2 linked regions of the Drosophila melanogaster genome follow. The protein of the gene in region 2 interacts with the protein of the main gene of each other region in a pairwise test. Each region holds a gene or a part of one and is shown on either strand. Other genes may lie near its edges.

Evidence for each region.
Region 1: the proteins of CG13023 (region 2) and CLIP-190 interact in a two-hybrid assay, tested with the Drosophila melanogaster proteins (one large-scale study listed by BioGRID).

What each region holds. Positions count from the first base shown.
Region 1 is NT_033779.5:17,383,053-17,388,045, reverse strand, and holds the start of CLIP-190 (cytoplasmic linker protein 190), read right to left. Parts: upstream 3,032-4,993; 5' UTR 2,551-3,031; intron 2,486-2,550; 5' UTR 2,416-2,485; coding exon 2,151-2,415; intron 1,901-2,150; exon of another isoform or gene 1,717-1,900; coding exon of another isoform or gene 1,653-1,716; intron 1-1,652. Other genes in the region: Lrch (Leucine-rich-repeats and calponin homology domain protein), read left to right, coding at 4,264-4,576. UniProt on the Drosophila melanogaster protein: Together CLIP-190 and jar may coordinate the interaction between the actin and microtubule cytoskeleton. May link endocytic vesicles to microtubules. May play a role in formation of furrows during cellularization.
Region 2 is NT_037436.4:16,923,379-16,929,424, forward strand, and holds CG13023 (uncharacterized protein), read right to left. Parts: upstream 4,057-6,046; 5' UTR 3,857-4,056; intron 2,608-3,856; 5' UTR 2,607-2,607; coding exon 1,541-2,606; intron 1,485-1,540; coding exon 1,315-1,484; 3' UTR 536-1,314; downstream 1-535. Other genes in the region: CG13028 (uncharacterized protein), read left to right, coding at 1-510.

The DNA.
Region 1 (4,993 bases), on a different chromosome or scaffold from region 2:
CTCATCCACGAGCACCACGACCGCAATTTTCATATCAGATCGACTGAGAACGGAACCCGGCATCAAATGCGCAGCGCAAAAACACCTCAAAAGATCTGAGCTCACGAACAAGCTAGAAGATACGTTTTGAGTACGTTTTCTGTGTCATCGCCAGAACAAATTCAATTAGGGAACGACGACGTAGAGATAGATTGCCGGCCGGTCGCCAGGTTTTCTCGGTCGCATTTGAGCTGAGTAGATTTTCGCAGACTTTTGGCATTGAGTATGGCGGGCCAAATGACGGGTCTCTTGGCAGATAGTCAAACAGTCCGTTCCAGAATGCTAGGAGAGATTTTAGAAAGCTGATCTGGGCAGCGGATCAAGGCGCTCAGGCGCTTGGAACGGATTTGGTTTTAAGCAGCGCGTCGCATAAACTACTAATTGACTAAAGTAGTTCAACTATTTGGGACATGCGGTATATCACTTCGTTTTCGTTAATAATTGGCAAAATGCGGAATAATCTCTTTGATATGGCGATCAACACTGGCGTATTTGAAACAAATCAGCGTAGAAATTTAAATGTACTAAAGCAAAAAATTCGGAGCTATCAAAACAAACTGGACTTTCATTGAGCCAAGCAAACAGCTTAATTTCTGAAATAGGTTTAATAATTATGTGCAATAAACGACCAATAAACGATTTTAAAAATAATGTATAAATGGGCAAACAAACTAGTTACAAAACCAATCTAATACAAAGTGATAATCTAAATGATCACAGTGCACATAGCGCCGTGTAAACTATTTCTATGGATGCAAATTAAATACACCTCGTGACTCAGTTTTTTCTGTAACCCTAAACATTACAAATTTTTGTGTTTTTGGGTAAATTTACAGGGAATAAATTTCTACGATTTTGCGGTTGCATTGCGACTGTCAATCGGATATGGAACGTGTGTGCCGGCGAAATAGAAAACCCGTCAATCGATCCATGGATCGTTTGGCAGATCGTTTGCTATATGGGCCAGTGGGTCGTCGTATGTTGACGACTGCGGTGCGGTTACGTGCCTGAAATGAGCCACATTGGGCGGATCAATTAAATGGTAGCAGCACTTGCCTAATTGGCCATAATTCTCCTTACCAAAAACACTTTTCGGGGCAGCTCTATAATTATGATCGAGAGTTAAGAGTGGGCGGCAATTTGTTTTGTTTATTTTTGAATTGTGCGTTGGTGTTTCAAAACGATTAAATAATTGAAAGAAGTGAAGCATTTGTTTACCAAACGAAACAGTTGACGCTGGGAATTATTAATGGTTTCTCTTTAGAGAAGAATTTACACTAACTACGCGAGTTCTCGCCGAAATAATTGCAAGTTCAATGTAGTGCAAAAAGTGCACTCAAATGGGGTGGGGTCAGCGTATATGTATGTATATATTTAGCAAGTGAGTGGGTCTGTCATCGTTTCCATTAGATCATTGCATTCGCTTATAGTATACAGCAATCTACATCTTGTGGGTGCACATATATATATGTAGGCGGATGCTTGACTTGCTTGAGCCAAAGATGCAAACACAAAAGTAGTCAAATCTCGGGTATTGAGGGTAGAGAGTAAGTAAACTTGATGAAATGACCCCTTTACAATGTCAAACTTAAAAGTGCATTATTTAAACTCACCATTCTTTTTGGGTTTCTGTTTTCCCATTTGAATGTGGGTACATTTTTTAATATTAACCTTCATGAGTACTTGGTGATAGTATAGTGGTGGGCTATACTATTGAAACATATTTTACTGCGATATTTTCCGGAGAGCAATTCAATTATCAGACTTCTTCCAACTGTTTTATAAGTGAAGAACTCGCGTATAAAAGTGGAAATCGGTAAAAACCCCTTTTCTTGAATTGTGAAATTAATGTTCTTTGTTAAGATGTTAATATGTATGTGACAATGCACTGACAAGATTTTCAAAGGGGCTCTGGTTGAATTCCCATTGGTGTTCAGATGTGTTTTAATTTCATCTTGCTTTAAATTCTAGCTTGTAAAATGGATGATAATTAAACCCAGGGGATAATTAAGACCTTTAACTACTTTCAAAAATACTGCTCTTAGTAACATATTTGCTTTGAGCAATAATACTAACTGGTTTGCGTTGTTGCACAATGCGATTAGACTTACCTCTTGGTGGTGGACCGGATTTGGGAGTTGTGTGATTGCAGCACGGTCTTCCGATTTTGGAAACAGAACCCGTCGATCCAAAACTAGATGGTGCCTTCATTTTGCTGGGCTGCGGGATTCCGGTACCAGAAGTAGCGGGCGTGGGAATATTGGATCTGATGGGACCCGGTAATTTGGAGGCAGTGGCTCCTGGTTCCGGGTCCGCAGTAACTGGCGATGGAAAAGGGGCACTTGTCCCGCCCGAAGCGCTCGTATCATCACTCATTTTTTACTTTATTCTTAATAATCTTCACTTATTAGGACACACGCGTATTAAAAGTAAACGATTTAAAAAACTTGGGGGAAAAACAAGTGCAAAAGAATAATTTTTGGTAAAATAAATGGAATGCTGATCACTTACCTTAACAAATATATGTATAATTCGCTTAATTTGCTTTTATTTTATATTTTTGCTACAAAAATAAATGGATTTTTTTTATTTTTAGCTAGGTTTTGAACCACTGTTCCACTTTTGTTGTTGCTTTATTTTGGCGCGCAGGCAGCTATCTCACTCGCACTTAGGCGGCTGCTTTAAAACAGCTGACTGAGAGCAGATTTCTTTTCTTCTTTTTTTCGTTGAGCTTGAAAAACAAACAAGACCGCTTTTTGTTGTTGCTCTCGTTGGCCAGAACTTCGTTATATTTTCAAAAAATGCGGAACACAAATATGTATTGAATTAATTTTATGCGACTAACAAAATCACTCAAGGGTATTCTATTTATATAAATTCGTAACTTTTTATTTATAATTTTGTGTTGGGCTGCTTGCGCTGATATTCATCAGACTTAAACAAGATTAAATTGAATCAAATTGCTTATCAATTTGTGCATTTCACACACACACACACGCACGCTGTAGCTCTGTTCTATATTTTATTGTTGCTGCTGATTTGACACAGTTATAGAAGAGGGAACCATTAGAAGAGGGTGGGAAAAGGGACGCGAAAACGCACTCTTATTGGTGTGTGTTTACCGCACACACACACAGTACTTAAATAAACTGGAGTGCTTTACATACTGTGCTGTGCGAATACGATTTAGAAATATACGCGATTGGGATTTTACAATTTTACACAAATTTTAGATTTTTTTTGCACTTAGTTGGCGTTGCGTTGGAATTTTGTTGTTGCACTGAGTTAGCGATGGTAGCACAGCTCCAGTGCAGCGCGCCAATCGATAGTTGCGGCTATATTTTCCCGAGGTATTTTTAGAGTAATGCGGTCATACAAAAACACCCTGTAGGAAATTGGCGAATATTTATTCGTGAATATAAATATGTAAAATATGAAATTATGTCACCAATAATGGAAGCGTCGCTGAGCTTATTCAGATTTGTGATCTGAGCCCACACAACTGACAAATTAACGAATTTATAATTTAGTCTAACATGGTTTTTTAATATTCAACCAGTTTATTGCCGGGTTCCAATACCAGGTTACCTGGTCATTTGTTCATTTTTTCTTTAAGTAGTTATATGAAATGTTTCGGTGTAATAACGACTCAGTAATCTAATAATGCCCTAAATTTGAAGGGGCAAATGCTAAACGGTAGATCATTCTGAATAAACAAACATTACATTACATTATAAAATGTAAGATTGTTGACATTTCGAATTGCGATAAAAATGGAGCCAGTGTATCATCGGCGCACTGTGGTATTTTATCGATAGTACTCAAAGGCACGCCGATTTTAAACTAACAGCAACGTTTCCAGCGCTGCCCAAGTAGCATCCCATAAACCGATTCAGTTGTTTTTCGATTTTCGTTGTGCACTGTCGCTCGTCTGCTGCGTGAGCTTGTGCGTGTGTGAGTGCGCGTGTGTGCGAGGAGGCAAAGAAGAGGAAGCAAGAAGGAAGCCGCAAAAGGAAAATCCAATTCCGAGAAATCTTATCAATGAGCCAAGAAGACGTACACTAAATGAAAAATAATCGAGATGCGTGCGTTTCAATAGAGCAAATTTAGTTTCCAGTTTCGGTTTCTTTCGGCACTTCACTCCGTTTCCTTATCGGTGTGATAGTTTAGCGCGTGCGTGTGTGTGTGCAAGTGTGTGGAAGTGTCGCCACGCCTACACGGGAAATGGCAGCAACGGTTTACCAACGCCTACATAGCGTCGCAGTCGGCGTCGGCAGCGCCGCTGGCAGCGCCATCGGCAGCGGGTCGGCTTCCCTTCCAGGATCTGGAACAGGATCGGGATCTGGAATAGGCCACGCTGGAAACACCTCCTCCTCCACCTCGTCTGCCCTGCTTAGTCATTCCCAGCTGACGCGCTCCCTGGAAAGAATCCTGGAAGAAGCGCACTTCAGCGGCGAACTGATCCTGACCAATCGCAAGCTGAAGGACTTTCCCAGGACTGGAACGAAGTACTCACTTACCGACACTGTCATCGCAGGTGCGTACCGCTATTGTATAGTGTATATTCGTAAGGGAGAACAAAGAAAAGGTGTTCTTCAAGCCGGTTTCGTAGCTCCGGAAAAAATTGGGTTTTCATTACTTCCTAAGTAAAGTTTAAACTGTTCTTAATAATACTTAATGTACGAAGTTAATAACATTTTATTGGAAAAAGCATACATTTTTATATTACAAAGTTAAATGGTATTAAAGTTGATTAGAAAATTGTTAGTTATAAAGTTTTCTTTTGACGTCAGAAAAAGTAAAAGTAGAGTTTACATATGTACAAGTACTGATAAAGCAATTAAATTAGTTGCTTATCGAAAATGTTTGGCGTATGTGTATACCTTTAGGGTGCGGCATTTAAGCAAAGGAGGTTTGTTGCCGGTGAGCTAACGAAGTTTTTCCATCTCCATTG
Region 2 (6,046 bases):
GCCCTTCAGGCGGCCATTATACCACTGACCCTGATCAAAAACGGAATTGAAGCGAATTCCCAAGCACTTCCCACGGATACGGAGAAGTTCGGTTACCTGGAATTCAAACCCAATGGATCACTAATACTCAGAAGGGCGCCCAATCAGAGTGGCAGTAACCTACAGGACCTGGTAATGCTGAGAGGAGTTCTTCAGGCTCTGAAAGCGAGTCCCTCGAAAATGTCGGACATCGGTGGCGAAACGCGATTGAGCCTAAGGATTTATGGAGATGGAGTGGAACACAAGTTTCCGCCCATACTGGAGAATATCATTCAACGCATTCAAACGTATTTTTCGGTTTATCGCTTTACGGATACAAGCAAACCCGGTGGATTGCAGCGAATTGAACTTACTACACAGCCGCCGGATGATTCTCCGGATGTAACCACTGCAAAAGCCGAGAACGATGATGAACTGATAGCAGTCGGTGAGCAGGACGCGTACATTACAGTGGGGGATGATACAGACTAGAATTCACGCTATTTAATACATATTTATTCAACTAGCTATGTAAGACGATAAAAGTGCTGTAATTTAAATATTTTTTAAAAATATATCACCCTCATTCGCAAATATCAGGGCACGTTTCGACGTTACTTTGTATGCAGGGTTGTGAATCCGGGCACTTTATGATTTTATTTACCCAACCGTGTAATAGTTGCAATATTTGTATGTTGCTGGGGATTTTCTGGTCTCTGCGAATTTCGTCGAATTTTTGGGGGTCATTGTCATTGCGTAATCAATTGCTAAAATAAGTGCCTTGCATGGTAGAAACTTAAATAAATATTTTAATTATTTTTTTTTTGTATTCCGGTCATATTCGAATAGTTTCTTTCATAAAACCTTTCTAAGGTCGTAAAAAGTCGTATAATTTTCCCACATATTCCAATCCAACCTAAAATTTCCATTCCCTGCATTCTACATTTTACATTCACTTTTTTATTGTTCTGTTTTACGTTTTCAATGTTATGGTTAATGAATATGTAATGATGATGATGAATACGAACGTTTCGTGATGATAATTATGAATGAATGTCTCTTTCTCGTTTCGTTGCTGTTAATTAATGTCTGGAAAATGGAAAATGTTGCGGATGCGTGTGTTCTTGTTAGTAATTAAATGTACGATTGGTGGGTGGATGGATGGATGGTGGATGAGGGGAAACCCCATGACCCGGTCGTCATTGCGCCGGGCCAGCTATGTGAATCAGTCGTAGAACCAAAGCTGCCCAAGGGATGAATGAGATTCAAAGATGAGTTCTGGTTCCAGCCGAGGCTCTAAGCCTGCGGCACAATGGCATCGGCGATGATCTCCTGCTGCTTCGGCTGCTCAGTCTGGATCGCCTCGGCGGGAAGAATCTTGGTCTGTGGCTCCGCCTGGATGGGCTTGGTGACCGGCTCGGCCTGAATGGTTTTGATCAGCTCCTTCTGCTGCTCAATCCTGGCGGCTGTGAAAAACATGACATGGTCAAACCAATAAAGTGTGCTTAATAAAAAACCTCACATTGTTGCTTCAATATCTCCTCTTCAATCTCCAAAGTTTTTTGTACACGCTTCATGTCCAAGTGATCCAGCAGACGGCCGGTCTTCTGCTCCTTAGAATCAGGAATAGTGGGCTTCAACTCCTGAGCAGCCTGTTCAAAAACCTGTTCCTTTAGCAGGGGCTGTTCCTTTAGCAGGGGCTGTTCCTTCAACAGGGGCTCATCCTTTAGCCCGGGCTGTTCCTTCAACAGGGGCTGTTCCTTTAGCACGGGCTGTTCCTTCAGCAGGGGCTGTTCCTTAAACAAGGCCTGTGGTTCCGGCTTGATCTCAGCCAGCGGCTCTGACTTGATCTCAGCCAGTGGCTCCGCCTTGATCTCAGCAAGTGGTTCAGCCTTCAGAGTCTGCTTTAAAGCAGTTTCAGCCGATGCCAACGTCGGTTCGGGTTCCTGCTGGATGCTGCGTGCTCGGATGGTAGAAATGGGCCAGGTGTAGAGGGGACCATGCACCACATCCACCACCGGAGTGTGATAGACCTGGGGCAGACGGTAGAAATGCCTGGCCTCGGTGGCAATCAATGGCTGAGTATTGGCCGGCGTTTCGATCAGCTCAATTTTCTCGGTCTTCAAACCCTGCAGCTGCTCCTCCTTCTTGGACCCACTTGGTGGGAACAGCGAGGGGAAGAAGCCCGCTCCGGCGGAGGCTGCGGATGCTGCCGCCTCGCTCAACTGACCACTCACGATCTCGACGCCCTGCTGGGACACCTGCTGTATCTGGTTGGCAATCTCGCCCGTGTTCTCCCACTGCTTGGTCTCCGGAGCACCGCCAGCACGGCCAGATCCAACGGCATCCACCACCGGCACCACCTGGGCAGCAGTTCCAGCAGGCACATACACAATCGTCTCCTCATGGTGGTGCGGAGTGGCCACGCGGGCCAGTGGCGACAGTCCGTGGACGTAGCGTAGAGCGGGCTCCAGGTGAACCTGCGCCTGCGGTGTCACAATCACGATGTGCTGGGCCGTCGGCTCCAGGGGCCTGGCCTGGCCGCCCATTGCCGCCAGGGACAGACAAAAGGCCGCGAGGAGGAACATTCTGTAAGGGGTCGAATGGTCGGTCGTAAAGAATGGTGTATACTTAAAAAATACGTATATAATTCGATATATAATTTAATATATATATACTTTTTTATGATATATTGTACATAAGTTGCCAAACCATATGTGAGTAAAGATTAATTTTGAATTTTTTTTGGAAGTGTACATAGAAGTATGTGAGTAAGTGTAATTATTGTCTCGCTTACTCAATATTTCTGTGTAGAAGAATCCCTACTGTATATTATTATCTTCTTAGCCCAAGTGCTGTAAACGGGTCTAGCCAATGCTCTATTTATAGCCGATCTCCTGCCACCGCACCAAAGTCCATTCTAAATTTAACGTTACTCTGCGCAACTGTGTGTGTCCGTGTGTAATTGCATGTTGCCTGGTCGGACAGGATGCTCCTCGTACTTGCATGGATCGAGGGACTATCAACCGGTTTGCAATTGATTGGCCAGGCCATTGGAACTTCTTTGCCTAGCACTTCTAGTGTAGATACTAGCTAATGACTGAAAGCAGCTTTATGGCTTAAATCGGTACTTGATAGTCAAGTTCGTCGTCCCCACCCCTTTACAAGTGCTCTTTGTGTGGTACTTGCCAAGTTCGGCTCTTAAGTCTTTTGTTTGTCGTAAAAAAAATATGTTATGCGAACTGGGAATATCGCATCTTATTTTCAAGACTTATGTGATTAAATTCGATATTTAGATAAATTTCTTTAAATGTGATTATACAATAACATACATACAACTTAAATGTCGTTCTTTAAATTTGTTAGCAATTAAATTCGCATTGGGATAATCCAGTTTTTCTTTGATAATATTATTGAGCCAATCGTTAAAAAGTAAAAGCTTGGTCCATATTTCATAACTATTTTTTATATCTATCTAAGGTTCTGAATTTCTTTGTCTTTTCTCCCCTAATTTTGAAGCTAGAGGCTAATAATATTTTATATATATATTATATTTATATTTACATCCAATTTCAATACATTCAAATAACGTTAGCTTTCTCATAAAAAACGTTTATTCTTTCAAAAATATTAAATTTTTTATTCTTCATGGCTTTAACCCATAATTTCGGATATATTTACTTTCTTTTCGCGATTTTATGGCTAGACCTAGACTATAACTTACTTAGTTGTTTAATGACCCCATTAAAAGAATTTAAGACCATAGCAAAACGAGATTGAATTAAGCACACTTTTTGAAATAAGCCGAACATAAACGCAAATTGAGGGTCAGACTTACGTTTCAGTAGTTGATGGGGCCTTTCTCGACTTTCCCAAATCTAGGCAGGTAGTTTGATGGAGTTCTCTGGTGGCCACACGATCCGCAATCCGCTCAAGAAGAATCTAAACTATCACTAGTCAGTCAGAACACAATGGCAGTGAACGATGAACGGGCTCAGTCTTCAGTGTTAACACGGCGACCACTTCAAGGAAACTGGTGGCCAGTGCTGCTCGGCAATGGCCTTTTATAATGTGCGACCACAGACCCCTTACCCTGACCTATCCCAAGAACAAAGAGCTGCAGACCTGATGGAACTGGAAATGTGCAGCTTCCCGCAGGAAAGCCGAAGGGGGAACCAAGTCGTTCGCTAGCCAAAAGAAGCCCGAATAGCCAACAAAGCTGGCGGGCCAGATACATTCTGGTTTCAGGTTCGCTTGCAGATGGCAGATGGTCAACGGAGATGCCGTCTTCGCCACATCCCCGTCCAAGTTCTGGGCCTATCAAGTTTGTTAAACCTGCCGCGTAATAGAAGTCAAGCATGGCATGGGCGAACGCATTGAAGCCGCATTGACGGGCAAAGGTACTCGGATGGGAGATGGTCGATGGAGCCAACTGGTTCAGGTGCAAATTGAATGTGTTCCTTCCTGCCGACCGACCCTCCATCCGCTGCCCGCTTAGATAATTTATTTTCATGTTGCCTGCCCTGGCGGAAAAGATTAATCAAGATTTGCACATGCTTGCATTCAGTTCGCCTGAGATTTTCAATGCGCTGGGCGCAATCGCATAAATAAATTTATATTCCTTATAAACTGTATGCACTTCCCGCAGCAATTAGATGCGTTGCCGTGTCCCTCTGTCGCATTCTTCACGTGATCTTGACTGGCTATTTGCGGTCTGTGATTCGAACGCCCGATAACAGGGTATGGAAAACTCCAGTTCTTTGGCCCGCAAGTCGGTTGTAATTACGTTCCTTTTTAAAGACCGAACAATTATTGCATCTCAACGATCGCTTGCAAGCCATTTTTGTGTCTAAAATTTTGTAACAAAGTGACTAGAGCTTTTAAACTTGTTTATATAACATTCAGAAACTAAGCTATAGGCTATAAATGATATATTTAATTGACCTGTATAGATCTTTAATAAGAATCTCAGATTAATTCATTTATTTAAATAGACATATTTTATTGGCAATCTGGGAGCTGGCACACAATATGTTGCTTAAAGTAAAGTATGAATCTCATTGCGATCAAGTCCAATCCAATTTTAATCTCGTTCATCCAATCCTACAGCACTTTTTCTATTCGGAGTGAAGACGCAGTTTGGGAGCCATGCGGATGAAGGGTGTGGGATGCGGCATGGCCACCTTGGTCAGCGCCTGCCTGGCTGCATAATCCTCTGCGATGGCGGTGCGCCACCTTTCCACAAGGGAATCCCCTCCAGAGATGCGAACCGGGACCAATTGCTGAGGAGTTTCCCGGGTCAGAGGAAAGCGGGCAACCGTCAGCGGTACATCATTATAGTCATAGTCTTCGCTAGCCTTCTCCGAAGCCAAATTGGGACTCTTGATCACCAGTTGATTGCGAGTGGGCAATGAAATGCTGAAGGCAGCTGCCTCCTCGGGAGAAACTCCAGCAATGGCTGTGGCCTTGGGCGAAGCTACGGCCAATCCATTCCGGCCGGAGAGAGCCACAGCGTTCGGTTTTGAGGAGGCCACGCCACCTTCACCGGCAATCGAAAGACCTAAAAGGTGATTGGAGGGTTTAATAGAAGTAAATTAAGAGAAGCCTCTCCTTCAGAGAACTTACCCACTGGTTTTGCCTCAGCCACGGCGGCATCTTTCTTAGGAGCCATTACGGACACACTATCGTTAACATCCTCATAGGGATCCTCGTTGTTGGGGGGCAGGAACTGCTCATCCGGCGAGAATTGTTGCTCAGTGACCTCGTCCAGTTTCTGTTCGTCGATCTTCTGGTCCGCCGGATTGTTGGTGGCCTCTAGCCCGAAATTGGCTGGCTGCTTTTGAGGATTGCCAAACATGTCCGGCTGCAGCAGAACACTAAAGTCCTTAATCTGTCCGCTTTGCTGGAGCATGGCCAAACTCTGGGCAGCCTGGCCCAGTTCCAGTAAGCTGCTGGCATAGATCTTGTTGTCCTCCTCACTGAAGGAACCCTTGCGCTTGGCCAACTCCTGAATGGCAACCAACCGAGC